Bombyx mori: one gene and its partner. The protein of the gene in region 1 purifies or fractionates together with the protein of each later gene. This does not show direct contact. Links are inferred from orthologs where the notes say so. Each region holds a gene or a part of one and is shown in the gene's direction. Other genes may lie near its edges. The genes, in order: Cpr and ER membrane protein complex subunit 4.

Region 1 (8,494 bases):
AAAGCATGTCTTAAAGTCGTGATGCTTATGGGCTCCGGTAACCATTTAACACCAGGTGGAATGAGCTCCCCTCCACGGTGTTTCCCGAGCGCTATGACATGTCCTTCTTCAAACGAGGCTTGTGGAGAGTATTAAGCGGTAGGCAGCGGCTTGGCTCTGCCCCTGGCATTGCTGAAGCCCATGGGCGACGGTAACCACTCACCATCAGGTGGGCCGTATGCTCGTCTGCCTACAAGGGTAATAAAAACAAAAAGGTGGGCCGTGAGCTGGTTCACTCTTCTGTGGAATGCAAAAATCATTTTCATGTATTACATTATTAATCGTTTGTAGGCTTCCAATGCAGACCCAAACACCAATAATAATGGTGGGACCGGGGACTGGATTGGCGCCCTTCCGAGGTTTTCTTCAAGACCGCGCATTCGTCCGCGCCAGTGGGAAAGAAGTGGGCGAGAACATCCTTTACTTTGGATGCAGACATCGTGATGAGGATTACATCTACCAAGAGGTACTTATAACTTATGTTACATATGCACTTACACGGGTTAGTGGTATACTGTTTTGTACATGTAAAATCCGGACACGAGTAACTGTTACTAAACGCATGTAAAACACCCTTTTGTAAAAACAAATCGCCCGGCACATGTTGTGCGTCGATGTTATTATTAAAAATACATTTGAAGTGTTTGAACAATAACTGCTTAAGGCTTCAATGTAAAGTTTGACGAAGCCAAAATCGTGATAGAAATAAGACTAGAGTAAGACTAAGTATAAATTAATTGGGTGAATCTTGATACGAATGAGGTCGGAGGTGAGGCCAATCTGTTTGTAAACAGAGATGAATATAGACTTCAGTCTATGAATTATTGTGCGGACTCAAGGTAAATAGAAAGAGCAAGAAACTAGGGCATTAGGGGTCAACTGTATTGTGGTATATTAGAAGAGTTTAGTGAATCACTGGACCCGACCGTGTCTTTGTAGTTTTGTTTTTCTACCTAATCGCCTAGTAGCTTTAGGGCACAGATAACGGAAAAGATAGGGTTATCTGTGCTTTAAGGGCTCTTCCAGCTACGCTACAACTGGTAAGTGAGCTCACGGACTCATCATGAGATAATTTGCTAACACTAGCCCTAGCAAGAGCGATGCTTTGCGGAATCTACCACCGAATCGAAATCGTGACCCACTGAGAAGATCCGGCGAGAAACTCAGTGGGCTAATTATGTATCCGCTGCATTATATTACACGCTTAATCTACCAAACCTATAGTGATTTCTATTATTGTAATACCAAAGCCGTAATCGTTGACAGAATTATGTCGTTTTTATGAACGTTATCTTGAAGCAATTTGTCCTTAAACACATTAGGGAACGTACCCATACTACGTGACCAATTTTTTTAGTTTTTTCGACCTCTCCCTCCCCTCGATGATCACTCGTAGTATATGCCAAGACCCCCCCTCTCCCCTTTTAGTTTTCACGTAGTAATTCACAATTATGATTTTTAATCATTTCACAGGCAATTCTATTAATAATAGATGTTCTTCATTTTCAATAGTTTTCTATCTTTAGTTTTTAGATTTTCAATAGTAATAAAATATGTGCTTGCTAAACTAAGGAGACAAGATTGAATAATTCATGCGGAAATAAGTTCCACGAGTTCATTCGAACATGAAACTTTTCGCTATTGTTTCGTGTGAATTAAAATTTATAATGTTTTTCGAATAAATTAATTATAATTATTTTAACATTGGAGTACATTCATTTTATTTCATATTCGCGATTTATTTTTCATTGTATTTTTCTTGACAATTGTAACTAATTAATTTACAGCTTGTCATAATTAATAATGCTCGGATTTTATTATTATTAATCAAAACAAACTGTAGATATGTCAGATATGGTGATACACCATCAGATTCGGATTTTTCCTTTTTTTTAATGTATAGACTAGTGAATGAGCTCACGGCCCACCTGGTGTTAAGTGGTTACCGGATCGATCTCGTGGACATCACATTGTGAATGTTGCTCCCCACCTTTTGAGCCTAGTCACATGAGTTCGAAGTCTAATAATATTAGAATAACTGCGAATACTCGTGTTTTAGTTGGACGGTTAAACAATAACCTTGAATGAAAGACACTTTTGCGACAGACACCGATATTAGACTTTACAGAAAACCAAAGATAAATGGTTCATCCAAATTTTTACTCGGTATAATATTGTGGTATAATATTCATAACACAATATTTTATAATGAATTTTAGATAGATCGTCTTGATGATTTTAACACAGCATTTTTTTTAAATCTAAATAAGGTTAGTGAAGAATATCGTTCAATAGAGTACAGATATTGATTGAATTAATATTCTTTCTCCAGTTTAATCTCGTGTTTATTTTTGTCTTCGTATTATTACGGACGTTTAAAATACTTTTTACAGTTTTCGTGAGCATACACGACTAAGCTTTTATTTGTCATCTGTAGTTTAAGCTAACTACCGTCTAATTTTTAATACAACCAAATAATTTTCACTACAAACACCAAAGAAAATAAATACTTCATCAAATCACACAATCAAATTCATTTGTTTATTGGCCCTTAATAATTTCTTTGAAATTAAGTTATAACGCAATCGATCGAACGATTATATGAATAAGGAAATTTAATAGGAATTTATTTCTGTTTGATCTCCCTTTTGTATAGTTAAATCCAACCTCTGCTTCCTTGAGGGATCACTCACCTCTTAGAAATAATACGTCATTGTTTATCAGCACAAAAACTATTCTTTGTTCTCTTTTTTTTAGCACGATTCCAAAGTCTACTACGTGTTTTTTGCAATAATCAAGACAGGTATAAAAATACATTACAAACAAATAGACACGAGAGGAAAATGAAAAGCAATATTATCGATGCGATCTGAGCGACGCATCGATTTCCTATTTCTGTTATATACAGTCTTTAATTTGTCACATAAAGACTAATAAATATCTCAAAAGCAATAAATAAAGTCCATTCTCATTTACCACACCGCAACATAATATGCAAACTCGTTTTGAAGCATGAAGATTATTTATTTGATTAAAAAAAAATCTGAGTACTTGTCAGATCAAAACATTTTAAATTTTTGAACGGGTTTTTGAAGGGAAAAGGAACGCTCTGTTCCTTTTCAGAAAAACGGAAGTTGGAGCAAAATTTTTATAATGAAATCGAACATTAACTTTATCAGATTACTAGCGACCCGCCCTCGCTTCGCTTCGGAAACTGTAACTTATTATTGATTTCTCCACTATTTACTGGATGTTATTATACATATAAACCTTCCTCTTCAATCACTCTATCTATTAAAAAAACCGCATCAAAATCCGTTGCGCAGTTTTTAAGATTTAAGCATACATAGGGATATAGGGACAGAGAAAGCGACTTTGTTTTATACTATGTAGTGATAGTGCGTTCTCTGTCTAGGATAAAATGAAAACGTGCTTAATTTCTTTGTTTCCTAATTAATTTTAGTTGGTTTTTCGTTGAGCGACTATACTTATGTTAAGCTTAGTCAATAAAAATAATTACTCGGATTGTTTCAATTGAATGAAAAGATTGCGATCGAAACTTTAGATGTAACGATTTTTAACCGTACTATACGCAATTTTCTTATTGGTCTTGACCTTTAAAAAACTTTGAAATTTTGTAGTTAAATATTTAAATATCGCTTAAGTACCAATTTAAGTAAACGGTCTGACCTTGTTCAGTTTCAAACTGTTGTTATAACATTCTCGCGTGTTAAATTATTAATTTTTGAATGATGTTGTTTGTTGTTGCGTCTTTTGTTAAATTGAAGTTGGTACGTTTGTACAGTTGCGGTTGTTATACACCATAACGCCAACTCGTGATAAAAGGTACGCGTCAATAAACGGGTGTCTAAGATAATATATTTATTGACTAGCTGACCCGGCAGACTTCGCAGTGCCTCAATCGATAAATAAAAAACCTAAACTTTTGTATAAAATAAACTTAAAATAAACAAAAGGAATCCGTCGGACGGGGGACACATCAAAGGAAAAACAAAATTGTTATTTTTATTTAATTCCGAGCATTTTCATATTTATCTACCTTTTAAACCTTCTCTGGACTTCCACAAATAATACAAGACCAAAATTAGCCAAATCGGTCCAGCTGTTCTCGAGTTTTAGCGAGACTAACGAACAGCAATTCATTTTTATATATGTAGATGGTAATTTATACTAATACAGTCAAACTAATTATGTTACAGGAACTAGAGGAATACGAAAAGAATGGTGACGTAAAACTGAACTTAGCATTTTCACGCGACCAAGCGAACAAAGTTTACGTTACACATTTACTCGAAAATAATATGGACGAACTATGGGATGTTATCGGAAATAGGAATGGAAATTTCTACATTTGCGGGTAATGTATATTTATTTTATAGGTTGGTAAAATAAAAGAGATATATTGCGTGGCAGAGAGGATAAATAATGTGATGGAATGGCAGTTAACGCATGATACAAGGTGAAGATGATACGCGCGGCTGTTGGTGATTCCATTGCGCAGTCTATTCTATGTATTTAGATTGCCGTGATCGACTGGTTGGCCGCCCCAGCTCTAGTTATATGAATAATATTATGATAGCAGTTTTTAATGTTTTTTTTTATTGCTCTTGAAGGCAGACGAGTATACGGCCCATCTGATGGTCAGTGGTTACCGTCGCCCATGGACTTCAGCAGTGCCAGGGGCAGAGCCAAGCCGCTGCCTATCAAACTCGATTCGACTGAAGGGATCGATAACTCATATGCGCTCTGGTTGTTATTGTAAATGCTAATTTGGAAAATATTATTTATTCTTCAGTGACGCGAAAAACATGGCTGTGGACGTAAGGAACATTGTGTTGAAAGCTATAAAAGAGAAAGGCGGCCGCACAGAGACGGAGGCCGTGCAGTTCCTCAAGAAGTTAGAATCCGTCAAGAAATATTCTTCGGACGTTTGGAGTTAAACTCCTGCACTGAGATCGTTCACTCGAAGAAACTTCCTGTTCTATAAGAATGAAATGCTGGCAAAGTTTATAAAGATAGGCCTTAACGATTGTGATGCGAAACTCGTAAACTAATCTGTACAAGAGAACAGTGAATTTCGGGAAATTTGAACAAACTAAATAATATAATAGAGTAAAATGTTCAGCAACATTTAAATCTGATAAACAGGTAGTTCAAATATGTTAATGTACCTTAAATCAGTAAATAACAAAAGCATTAGAAAGTCATGAAATAAAATGTTCTAACAACATGTACGTATGGTACATGAGTGTAGTAAATTAATTATTATATACGGGCTTGCTGGTTGTGAGACCGGGAAAATGAATGGTTTGGATGGATTTTTTTTTAATTATTATTGGCATTGTTGTCAACTGTAGTGTTTACATGACAATTCGACTAATTCAGATCTACGTAGTTCTTGCAAAATATTATGTTGTTGTTCAAATAACAGCTTCAATAAATTTGTAATTTGGTATAATTATAGAAAGGACAAAAACCGCATAGTGAGACAAATTGCAAATTAAATCTCATTTAATCATTATTTAATTCGTATAGCTAGCGTAAGATTTACTTTCAATATATTTATTAATGTGATGATATAGTTATGAATGGATAAGTAGCTCATTTTTATTGGCCAAATAATAACTATTATATTATTTTAATACGGAATGAAGACATCATTAAATCTTAAAAATGCTGGGCCCGCTCTAGGCTAAAAAATAGGTTTGAAAATGTACATTAATGATTCCAAATTGACCTAATAATACAATTTAAAAATATAGTTTGTACAATTTTCAATCTGTAAATAATTGCCTATTAACAAATCCAGTGAATAATATCTATTCAAAATTATTGGGTGTATCAGATTTTAAACGTAAAACGTAAATTGACTTTTATACTGTTGTTAATGTTAATTGTTATTTTAAATACGTTTTTATATTTATACATACAGGGTCTGGTCGATAAATAAACTATTGAAATAATAATATAATAATATATGGTACATTTAATATCAAGAAGGCTGTCGTAAAAATACTACATAAAATGTTACATTTTTATTTGTGTAAGTGGACATGGGACATAAGTATACGTACTTTTATAACAATTACGAATTTATAATAAAAATTGATAAACCCTAATTGTGTCTTTATTTGCAACGTATTCAAGTTTTTTTTATTCCAAGGCTAAAATGGCCAAATTCCAGTCATAATTTGTTTCACTTAATAGCGTTAACAATTGACAACATACGAGAGCATTGAGTGGGATTCTTTACTCTTGAGATACCTACCCACCCACCCAGCGTAGGCGCAGGCTGATGAGACACTATATGTCACCCAGGTGCTTACCTACCTACCTAGTGCTAAAATAATAGTAATCTAACTTATTTTTATTACACACAATATAGGACTGTCTGTAAGCCATCAGTGTTAAGAGGTAACCGGAACTGATAAAATAAAAATGTGTTTTTTTATTCAAATAAGGTACAAAGTACGATTTAAAAGTGCATGTGAATCTGAAGAAATCTTCATAACTTCACGTCACATTTGGAACGCAATTGCAACATATCGGCTGCCCCAACTTTCAATCGGAACACATTAGCAGTAGGCAGGGAATGGCTATACCTCTGGCATTTCTAAAATCAATGCGCGACTATGACTACTTATCTTTACTTATTTGCTTACAATACTGATAAATTGCACGTTCCATCATATCTTTCAAATGCCTTAACATATTTAATTGTTTGAGATATTGTTAGAATCTTTACATCATCCCGAGTGATACATAAATTTTGAGGTCGTCGTGGCCTAAAGGATAAGACGGCCGGTGCATTAAGGTCGTCGTGGCTTAAGGGATAAGACGTCCGGTGCATTCGTGTCTAGCGATGCACCGGTATTCGAATCCTGCAGGCGGATACCAATGAAGGAATAACATCGTGTAATAAAAATCAAATCCGCAAAATTATAATTTTCGTAATTACTGGTGGTGGGAGGTCTTGAGTCCGCACGGGTAGGTACCACCACCCTGCCTATTTGTGCCGTGAAGCAGTAGGTAATGCGTTTCGGTCTGAAGGGTGGGGCAGCCGTTGTAACTATACCGAGACCTTAGAATTTATGTCTCAAGGTGGGTAGCGTATTTACGTTGTAGATGTCTACGGGTTCTAGTAACCACTTAACACCAGGTGGGCTGTGAGCTCGTCCAGCCATTTAAACAATAAAAAAACAAAAAAACAAAATGTACTTATTTTTGGTAGGGGGCCCGCTAGAGCAATCTTCATTTCCTAAAAATTTCATCGATGTCGGTGCAGCCGTTTCAGTCTTTTGGGCACATATTTTTAGGACGTCATCATAGTAGCTGACAAGACGTTCCGCTTGCAGTAGATACTGTTAGAGAACGGATATGGAATAAGAATATTTTTTTAGGATGGAGGGATTGTTGATGGCTCTGACGACTTCCAATTCAATTCGAAGCCAGCATATTTTTCTGCAGCTCTTCTAAGCGTCATTTTTCCGGAATTTGTCATTTTATCTTGTTACCTGATATTAAGTGTCGTACCTATACAGACCACATTTTGATTTTATGATGTTGGTGTTGACAGACGGAATTAACATCCAAACACGGGTCCTTGTTATATATAGTAAATTGAAGTTTTAGGCTTTATTGTTGCGAGTTCACGGTCTCCCTGGTTTTAAATGGATATGAAGATCCATAGAGATATCGGGCGGTATTCCCAGAGCCATTCTATTTCGATTATTTCATTCTTGAGCAGGAACGTAATTGCCTCGATTCATAAATATACATGGTTAAACGAACCCATGTCTTAGGACAGCATTTAAAAAAAAAAAAAAGGACAGCCTTTACAGTTTTATCGAAATAGATAAGAGAGCACGGCTCGACCAGGAAGGGTGGAAATTACTAACTTCGAGGCATTTGTTATCGAATGTTTTTTCTAAGGAATAAAACCACAAGAATGGAATTTTATGAATAAAATTTCCATACATTTTTAAAACGATAATTTATTGATTTAACCGCAAATATATTAGTTTATGTACAAGTTAGGGACGTCAACAAAATGCAAACAGACAGCCTGTATTGTATCCATACATCAACTTGAGAGTCGATTAAAATTTAATACAGTTCGGCTGACTTATTTATACTATGATAATCAAACAGCTAAAAACTGCACACTTCAAAATTATGGAAGTTTTTTTAATACTAAATTTACCAGATAAGCCAAGTACACTACACATAACGCAATACAAGCGAATCAATAAAACAAACTAACTCTCAACACATTAAATACTGCAATAAACCGTAAAGAACATTCAAGTATCAAATTTTCCTATGACTACTCAATTTCTACTATGTACATGAATTTATACTAATTTCTAACACGAATTCAGGATTTTATTAACGCTCATTATAAAATCGTTATGAACATTCGTATGCCAAAAGA
Region 2 (7,691 bases), on another chromosome or scaffold:
GCTATTAGCTAACCCTGGCCGCTCGAATATAGCTCCGATTTTGTATTTGTTTATTCTCTTAAATCTTTTTATGCCCTTGTTGCCTCGTTTCAATGAAGCGCCAAGGGACATGAGGTCTCTGTCGCCTATTGGCCTGGTTTCGGAACTTTCATATATTACAATATATTCAAAATTACCGCCATCTTCTGGATACTGACGGCAGTAATTTTCCGATTTATAAATGGTATACTTATCAGTTTCAGCAGTATCGGTCGAAGTATCTGAGTCGTCGACACTTGCCACATCTTGATGTAGATCGTCGGCTTTGCGCTTTTTGCGCTTGCCCCTCATGTTGAAGCGCACCTATAAATAGTGAGATTATATGCCTGGTTACAAATTCCTGGTAAAAACAATTTGTGAAAATTTTCTTTCAAAAAATTCCGCCTAATAGGTTTGACTTCCCGCCAAAAAGTCCTGGACAATATGGTTTACGTTAATATTTTTTAGATGTTATATTTCACCATGGAGTTAATAAGTACCTACAACTGGAGTGCTGTCTAATGCCGAGAAATCGGTCTCGAAAGAGAATACTTTTTGGTCGCGGTGTCCTTGTCTAATGTGGTGACCATATAAAATTTATTTATAGGACAAAATTATACACATGCATCAGTTTTGAATTTACCTTAAGTAATTCTGTGTAGCCCTATGTAAATACAAAACACGTGCTTGCAATAGTTTATTTATGTAAATTCAATTCTAAACATTTCTTCGTCGTCATTTTAACTTTTTTTCGACGTTTTTTTTTGGAAATTGCTGCGTTGTCGAAAATCTAGCACTGAGTTTTATTACAAACATCATTACCTCAGTTCTATTACTTAAACTTCCTCAAATTCATGTTTAACGTCCGAATACTCAACCGCGACTTAAATATTATGTTGAACTTAATTACGCAATTCCTACTTTAATGTACTGGCTAAGTGGGCTGTGCAAATTAATATTTGACACACTGAGTGAGACACTGCAACACACATTATCGGGTGCTCTTTTCCTACATTCACATCTTCAATTGATTTAAAATTACTTGTATTTTTACTTCTGTGCTATTTTCATGACACGTGTATATTAAGTCTACTAGTTGCATTTTAGGAAATAAAACACAATGGGTAATAAAATGAAATTAACTAAAATTCATTTATTTGTTATATGTAGACAATTAAATAACTCTTAAATGACAAGTCAATACACATAACACAATACACATAGTACTTGATCTCTATTTACAAAATATTGGTTATATTATTGTTATTATTAAGTTCAGTTAATTTTCTGTAGTCTTATAATATAACATTTCCTCTATTTTAAGTAAATTCTTTTTTTTCAACGAAATACATAATTTATTTTAATTAATATCTAAATGGACCATGAGTATCATTAAAATTTCGCAATTTAAATTTCAATTCAATTAAAAATTGCCATTTTTCTTTAATAAATCTTTTAAGTTTTTGTTTCAATACCTTAACATCTTGTCGTAATTTTGCTTTTCTCGGGGTATTTTTTATTTCTTGCGTTTGAGTACTTGATTCCTCTTGTTTGACCTTTATATAGGACATTTTCCAGAAATTCCAACGTTATACTTACTAGAAGATCCTCCTCGTTCGCTTAACGTCAGGCAAATGATATACATGCTTGCGTGCAACGCTATTCAATACAATAAAAAAGTTCAAAAAATACCACATGATGGCTCTTATAATATGAAAAATACATTGCAAAATTATAGTTTTCACGATTGTTTTTCCAAATTTAGTATATGACATAGATTAAGTACAATTTACAAGACAAATGGTATTAAATATTATAATGAGAAAAAATATCTCACATTTTAAAAATATATGCTCACACTAGTAAAAATTTATCAATGAATCTGACATATGGAAGGATATTCCACAAACTGGAGAGGATTCTCGCTTATAACCACTTACAATACAAGTGTTCACCATGATTACACGGAAACTTTCACGATTTTCGAAAAAAAACAAGCCACAAGCTGTATCAGTGCCCTTTTAACTTCAAACTACAAACGTAAATAGACGCCATTTTTCTTTTAATCCATTCATAGCTCTTTTTCGGTGATGCCAACAATTAATCTGGCTTCCCACCAAATTCAACATGAAAACCATCAGAAATCTACGTACCTACCATTAAATTTTCCATTAAACAGAGTTCTTATTAATATAGAACAATAATTTTTTTGTTAACGAGCTTTATTAATATATGATGTTCTATTAAAAATCAATATATATCATATAATCAATACTTCTCATATAATTTATTTTAATAAATTGTCATCATCAGAAACTAATTTCACCATAACTTTGTACGTTTATTTTGGACCAATTCAATTTTTTACGTTGATGGAAATTCTAAATTCTCGCAACATTTTCTAGTTAAGTTTAAGTCAAAGTCACATCGTTTAAATAATATGTATTTAGATATATTATTGTCATAAAATGTTTAAAATCCTGTAAAGTGGATTGATTTTAACCTTTTCGATAATTTTCAACAACGCCCAAGCTACTAAAAAATCCACTAACCACTAAATGCCATTTTTTATAAGTAAGATAGGGGTCCAAATTACGAGATTTTGTGGAAAATCCTCTAAGCTAGCAACACTGCTTTTTGTTTGTAAAATGTGCGAGAGGGACACCACCACTTAATAATCATTCTCTTTTCAGACCGTTTTTCCTTACATCTTTTGCTATTTAAAAATAAACTTTAAGTCATAGAGATAAAGTATATTTTTTGTTTTTATGTCAAACGAAGTAAGCACTCCAGTTAGGATAGTAACTCTATGTATTTCACACACTTTAGAAAGGCAAAGATATACAAAACAGATGTTGGTCTAAATTCTAACATTTAGATCAAGGGGTTTTAAAATTTATCCATCTCGGTAATTATACCCTAGGTCATATGTCATGGACAGAAACGTTGCTTCTTTCTGCCTCTTTCCAAGTAGACTTCTAAATGTTTATTATATTATTTATTTATTATTTTTAGAAAACTATTAATATATCTTGGCATAAAATAATACATTGTGCACCAAGGGAGAAAAGAATCCAACTTTTGTCTCGCGGTGCACATACTATTTTTTCTCCTACCAGGCTGAAAGTTCGTGGAGTACCGAGTCGGGGTCCGGGGGCGACGCCCCGGTGGGGTCCAGGGGCGAAGCCCTGGTGGGGGGTAGGGGGGGGGCGGACACCCCCCATACTCATAAAAAAAACCATTTAACTGCTTTTTAATTTTTAAATAAACTACTACTAATTGAATAAGAACTGTCTGATGAACTTATCTTTGTTTAACACAATATTGCAAATTACCCGAGCACAACAATGGCGGAGAATTTCAGGTGCGTGAGAGCAGACGTAGATACTAACGCGCATGCGCACTTGTATCCAGGGAGAAAAAGTTACACTTTCTTCCCTGTACAGCGGGACGAAAACCGAACTTTCGGCGTCGGTAGGAGAAAAAAATATGCTTAAGTTGGTAATTTGACTAAAAGGCTGTCGATTTGGTTAAGCTTTCGATGTTGTGGAAGTTAGCGGAAAAGATAAAAGCGAATAAAAGATCATCATAGTTTCAATATCGAAATAAATGAATTAATTTTATTTTTATGGGTTTTATAGTGTAAATAACTATTTAAATTGGGGTTTGCAGTTAGAAAAAATGCAAAACATGAGACATTAAATTTGTAGCAAATGAATAGCGTTGTATTGTGTAAAATTTTCCATACATGAGATTGCGTTTCCTGTTGTACCGATTTATTTAATTACCTCCTCCATGTATTTTCACAAATATTAAATAATTAATAAACAATCATATAAATCGATGTGTGAATAATTACAGCGGTATGGTCAAAACAATTTTCATAACATCGCTCTTTATATCTCAATCACTCAACACTCTTCAAAGAAAGCTTTGGCTTTACAATACTGGATAAGGCTGTTTGGGCATTATTTCCCATGCTTGTCTAAAGGACGAATGAAATTAAAAAAGTCTGTGACATATACGATTATCACGTAGAAAATAAATATTTCAAGATTCCGAATTACGATTTTCAGTGATAAAATAGTACTCAATAGATATAATTATTGTACCGCTGTTTCTCAAGTAAACCTTAAGTTACTTTATTTATTATTACTATTTTTCACGTGGATCGTAACAATGTCTCAGCTCAAATCAAATAAAAAACTTAAATGGGCTTTAGATTTTAATCAAAAGTAAGTAATGCGTTTCTTAAACAGTTTAATACACAAATACTTATCAAATTTATTTCAAATTGCAATGTTTCCAGGAATAAACAACTTTCAACAGAACTGCCCTCACCCCCAGGTTACAGTCAGTCTTCAAACGCTAATTATGCCGAATCATCAAAAGATTCGGACTCAAATTTACTCCTCATTAAAAAACTATGGGATGTGGCATTGGGCCCTTTGAAACAAGTACCCATGAATCTTTTTATTATGTACATGGCTGGTAACTCTATCTCTATATTTCCAATAATGATGGTTGGCATGTTAATAGTGAGGCCGGTGAAGGCGCTGTTTGCTACACAAAGTACTTTCAAAATGGTTGAAGGTACACAAGCTATCGGACAAAAAATTGTTTATTGTATCGGAAATATAGTAAACATTCTTTTAGCACTCTATAAGTGTCAGAGTATGGGATTGTTACCAACTCACTCAAGTGATTGGTTGGCATTTGAAGAGCCTCAAACAAGACTCGAACATATTGGAGGTGGTTTATCACTTATATGAATTTAATTTAGTTACTAGGGAAAAATGTTAGTTTAAAAGATTCACAGTTTGAATTGTATTTATTATACTATTATTGTAAAACTAATAATAAATATGTACAAACAATTAATAACAATTTTATTTCATAATTCCTGTTCCCATTTTCCTAATTTTAATCTTTTTTTCCATCTTGTACTTCAGAAAGTTTTGATTTCACGAAAGCTTGTGCCTTTTCAAACAGTGCTTTAGGATCTTCTACTTTTTCTATCTGTAAGGAAAATTCAAATTTAATTGAAACAATATCATAAAATGCAAGGTTCTCACAACTATTTCCTGGCTCAATAAACAAGAAAAAAAACAAACCATTTCTTTTTTTCCATAGCCTTGTCACAGTTCTGTACAGATTTCTGACAAATTACTTGGACTGCATCCTGAATTTAAAAGCAGCTTGTTAATTTTTAACAATTTTATACTGATAAATTGGTGTTAGAACAAAAGAGGCCATGTAATTTTACTAAATAAATAAATTTACTGAACCAGGATTATAATGGACAGAGATGTTCAATTATTAGGTGACCAATCAACTACAAATACATGTGTCTGGCCTCCTTTGTGTTCTGTAAAAATGATAATTGTACCTGATAATTTTGTGCTACATAGACACCGGTGTAAACTCCTGCACCAAATATTATCTGAAAAACAATTAAGAAGGTAACATTATATTATGCAATAGTAGAACTAGATCTATCAATGAAATTTATTGATTTTATCTGTCATTAGTGTTTCAGCACGGAAGCAAGCATGTCTATTTAATTTACATTTATACACAAAAATATGTTTACATGCAACTGTGTATTTTATTATTACTTGGATTTTTTTGGTGGGAACGCGAGGAGTGAAGTTGTGTGATTTATTTTATTTTGTCTATTTAGTGTTTCTTCAGATTTAAATGTCTAATAACGGAGGTTTATTAACTGTTTAATATCGGTGAGAGTGCACAAATGTAGGAAAACGAAACAAAGCCGCTGGACCTAACTTCTCGGGATCCTCTAAAAAGTCCACTGAAAAAATCTCAGTTAATGACCACCATTATACTGAGATTATATTTCATCCCATTTCATTTAATTTCATCCCAGTTGATTAATGTCTCAAATTAAACATCTTTATTTTATTTAACTCCATATGAGCATTTTTCATAAAAATAAGAATTTATACTAAAATAAGAAATCACCTAAAGGTCTTAGTTACCAGGTCATAAAATCTCTTAAAAAATATTATTTATTACATTCAATGGCGATCGACGTTACTCCATTTTTCACAATTTTTCACTTGTTTACAATAACCATAATGAATTAGGTCAGGCTCAAACTTTTAAATTTTTATAATCTTAATTAGTACTGATACCGTTAGCATTTTCATACATTTACGGGTATTTAAATTATGTTAATTATTAATTATATAATGTGTAGAATAAACTTACAGAGGTTTTAACGATAGAAAAGAAAAAGCCCATTCTATATATATTTTCAAAATACAAGAAATATCTTTTGGTGTTGTTCAAGACATTTTTCGTATTATTTGTCAAATTTTACATATTTCAAGGTATGTGACATTGACATTTCAATTTTTAAATTATTGTTGACCGTATGTAGTTTATATGTATGTAGTAAAAATGCAAGCATTAGGTTGGGCAAAATTGGCACTTAGGAAGCTTTTAATCCGACGAGAACCGATGTCCTTACAGTAGAAATGTACGACCAATGCATGTCGGAGATTGTAGTAAACATAAGAATAAAACACTCTAAATTCTAAGACTTATAGAACAAATTCCGCAAAGACGCCGAAGTTCATTCTTTAATAAAGAAGAAAGTATCTAAGCAATGAGTCGCACCTAGTTTGTGTAAGTGGACACGTAGGTGTCGAGGGAAAAACCAAACGAGTTGGTTATGAAAAAGGGGTTTAAAAAAGGCAATGATAGGATTCAAACCGCATTACCGAACACTAACCGAATTAATGGATGGAGGTAGTACTTCAAAAGCAAATCCATCCTGGAATACATCGGAATTTGAGGAGAATGAAGAATTTCTAAGTACTTTTACAAACAAAGCCTGCTGACTTTGTAGTCAACTGAAACATTTTTGGGCCCTTGTTGGGCATTTCCGTGCCCATGTAAAACGAATCTGACGGACGATGCAACATTTTGCTACTTGAAGGAAGTAGAAACTATGCATAACGTTGCCTACGTTGTTATTATGAGTGACTGTCTAGTGCGGACAATAATAGACAACTTAGTAGGCCAGGAAATGACAAAAAATCCTAATCCTCAGGTTGTTTGCTAAAATAACGTGAAGGAAGAAATTCCTATGAAAATGACTTCTGCATCTTACGCAGCTTTATACACTGAGTTTTCAGAAAGTATATTCTCTGCCTTAAAGTGAAGATTATTCGTCTGACTTTAGTAGGTAGTTTTCACTGGATTTAGGCCATACTTATTATCCATGTGGGTCGCACCGCCTGGCGGGTTAATAGCAAAGGATTAGGCAGCGTTATCACAATCTGGGCATTTGAAAATTATATAGTCCAATGTATGAGGAACACAGTGTGGTCGTATCAAGCAATTTGACTATACCAGTGTTAATTTTTTCCAAAGTAGTGCGTACCTAACGTTCCTCTGCACGAACGACTTTCGATGAATGAATAACAACGATTTACAAAAATGATAGCTGTAAAGAACTACTTTACGTATTTACTGACATTCCGAGCTCGCATTACCATCCCGTTTATTTCTCCCACACAAGAGTTATGGGTTCTGGTTTCAAGTGTGGTTGATTGGTGGGTGGTAATAATTTAACACCAGACCATGGCTGCGAAGTCTTTTAGTAATGTAGGGTCATTAAAAATTGAACGGCGGCGTTTATTTTC

What was found.
Region 2: the proteins of Cpr (region 1) and ER membrane protein complex subunit 4 purify together in Homo sapiens (affinity purification with mass spectrometry; 3 studies listed by BioGRID and IntAct, with this or other methods). This does not show direct contact. The link is inferred for Bombyx mori from reciprocal best matches to the Homo sapiens genes POR and EMC4.

The regions. Positions count from the first base shown.
Region 1 is NC_085116.1:8,007,264-8,015,757, reverse strand, and holds the end of Cpr (NADPH cytochrome P450 reductase), read left to right. Parts: intron 1-330; coding exon 331-505; intron 506-4,259; coding exon 4,260-4,417; intron 4,418-4,855; coding exon 4,856-5,000; exon of another isoform or gene 5,001-5,001; 3' UTR 5,002-6,177; downstream 6,178-8,494. UniProt on the Homo sapiens protein: This enzyme is required for electron transfer from NADP to cytochrome P450 in microsomes. It can also provide electron transfer to heme oxygenase and cytochrome B5.
Region 2 is NC_085110.1:12,131,407-12,139,097, forward strand, and holds ER membrane protein complex subunit 4, read left to right. Parts: upstream 1-4,021; 5' UTR 4,022-4,197; coding exon 4,198-4,253; intron 4,254-4,327; coding exon 4,328-4,790; 3' UTR 4,791-4,905; downstream 4,906-7,691. UniProt on the Homo sapiens protein: Part of the endoplasmic reticulum membrane protein complex (EMC) that enables the energy-independent insertion into endoplasmic reticulum membranes of newly synthesized membrane proteins.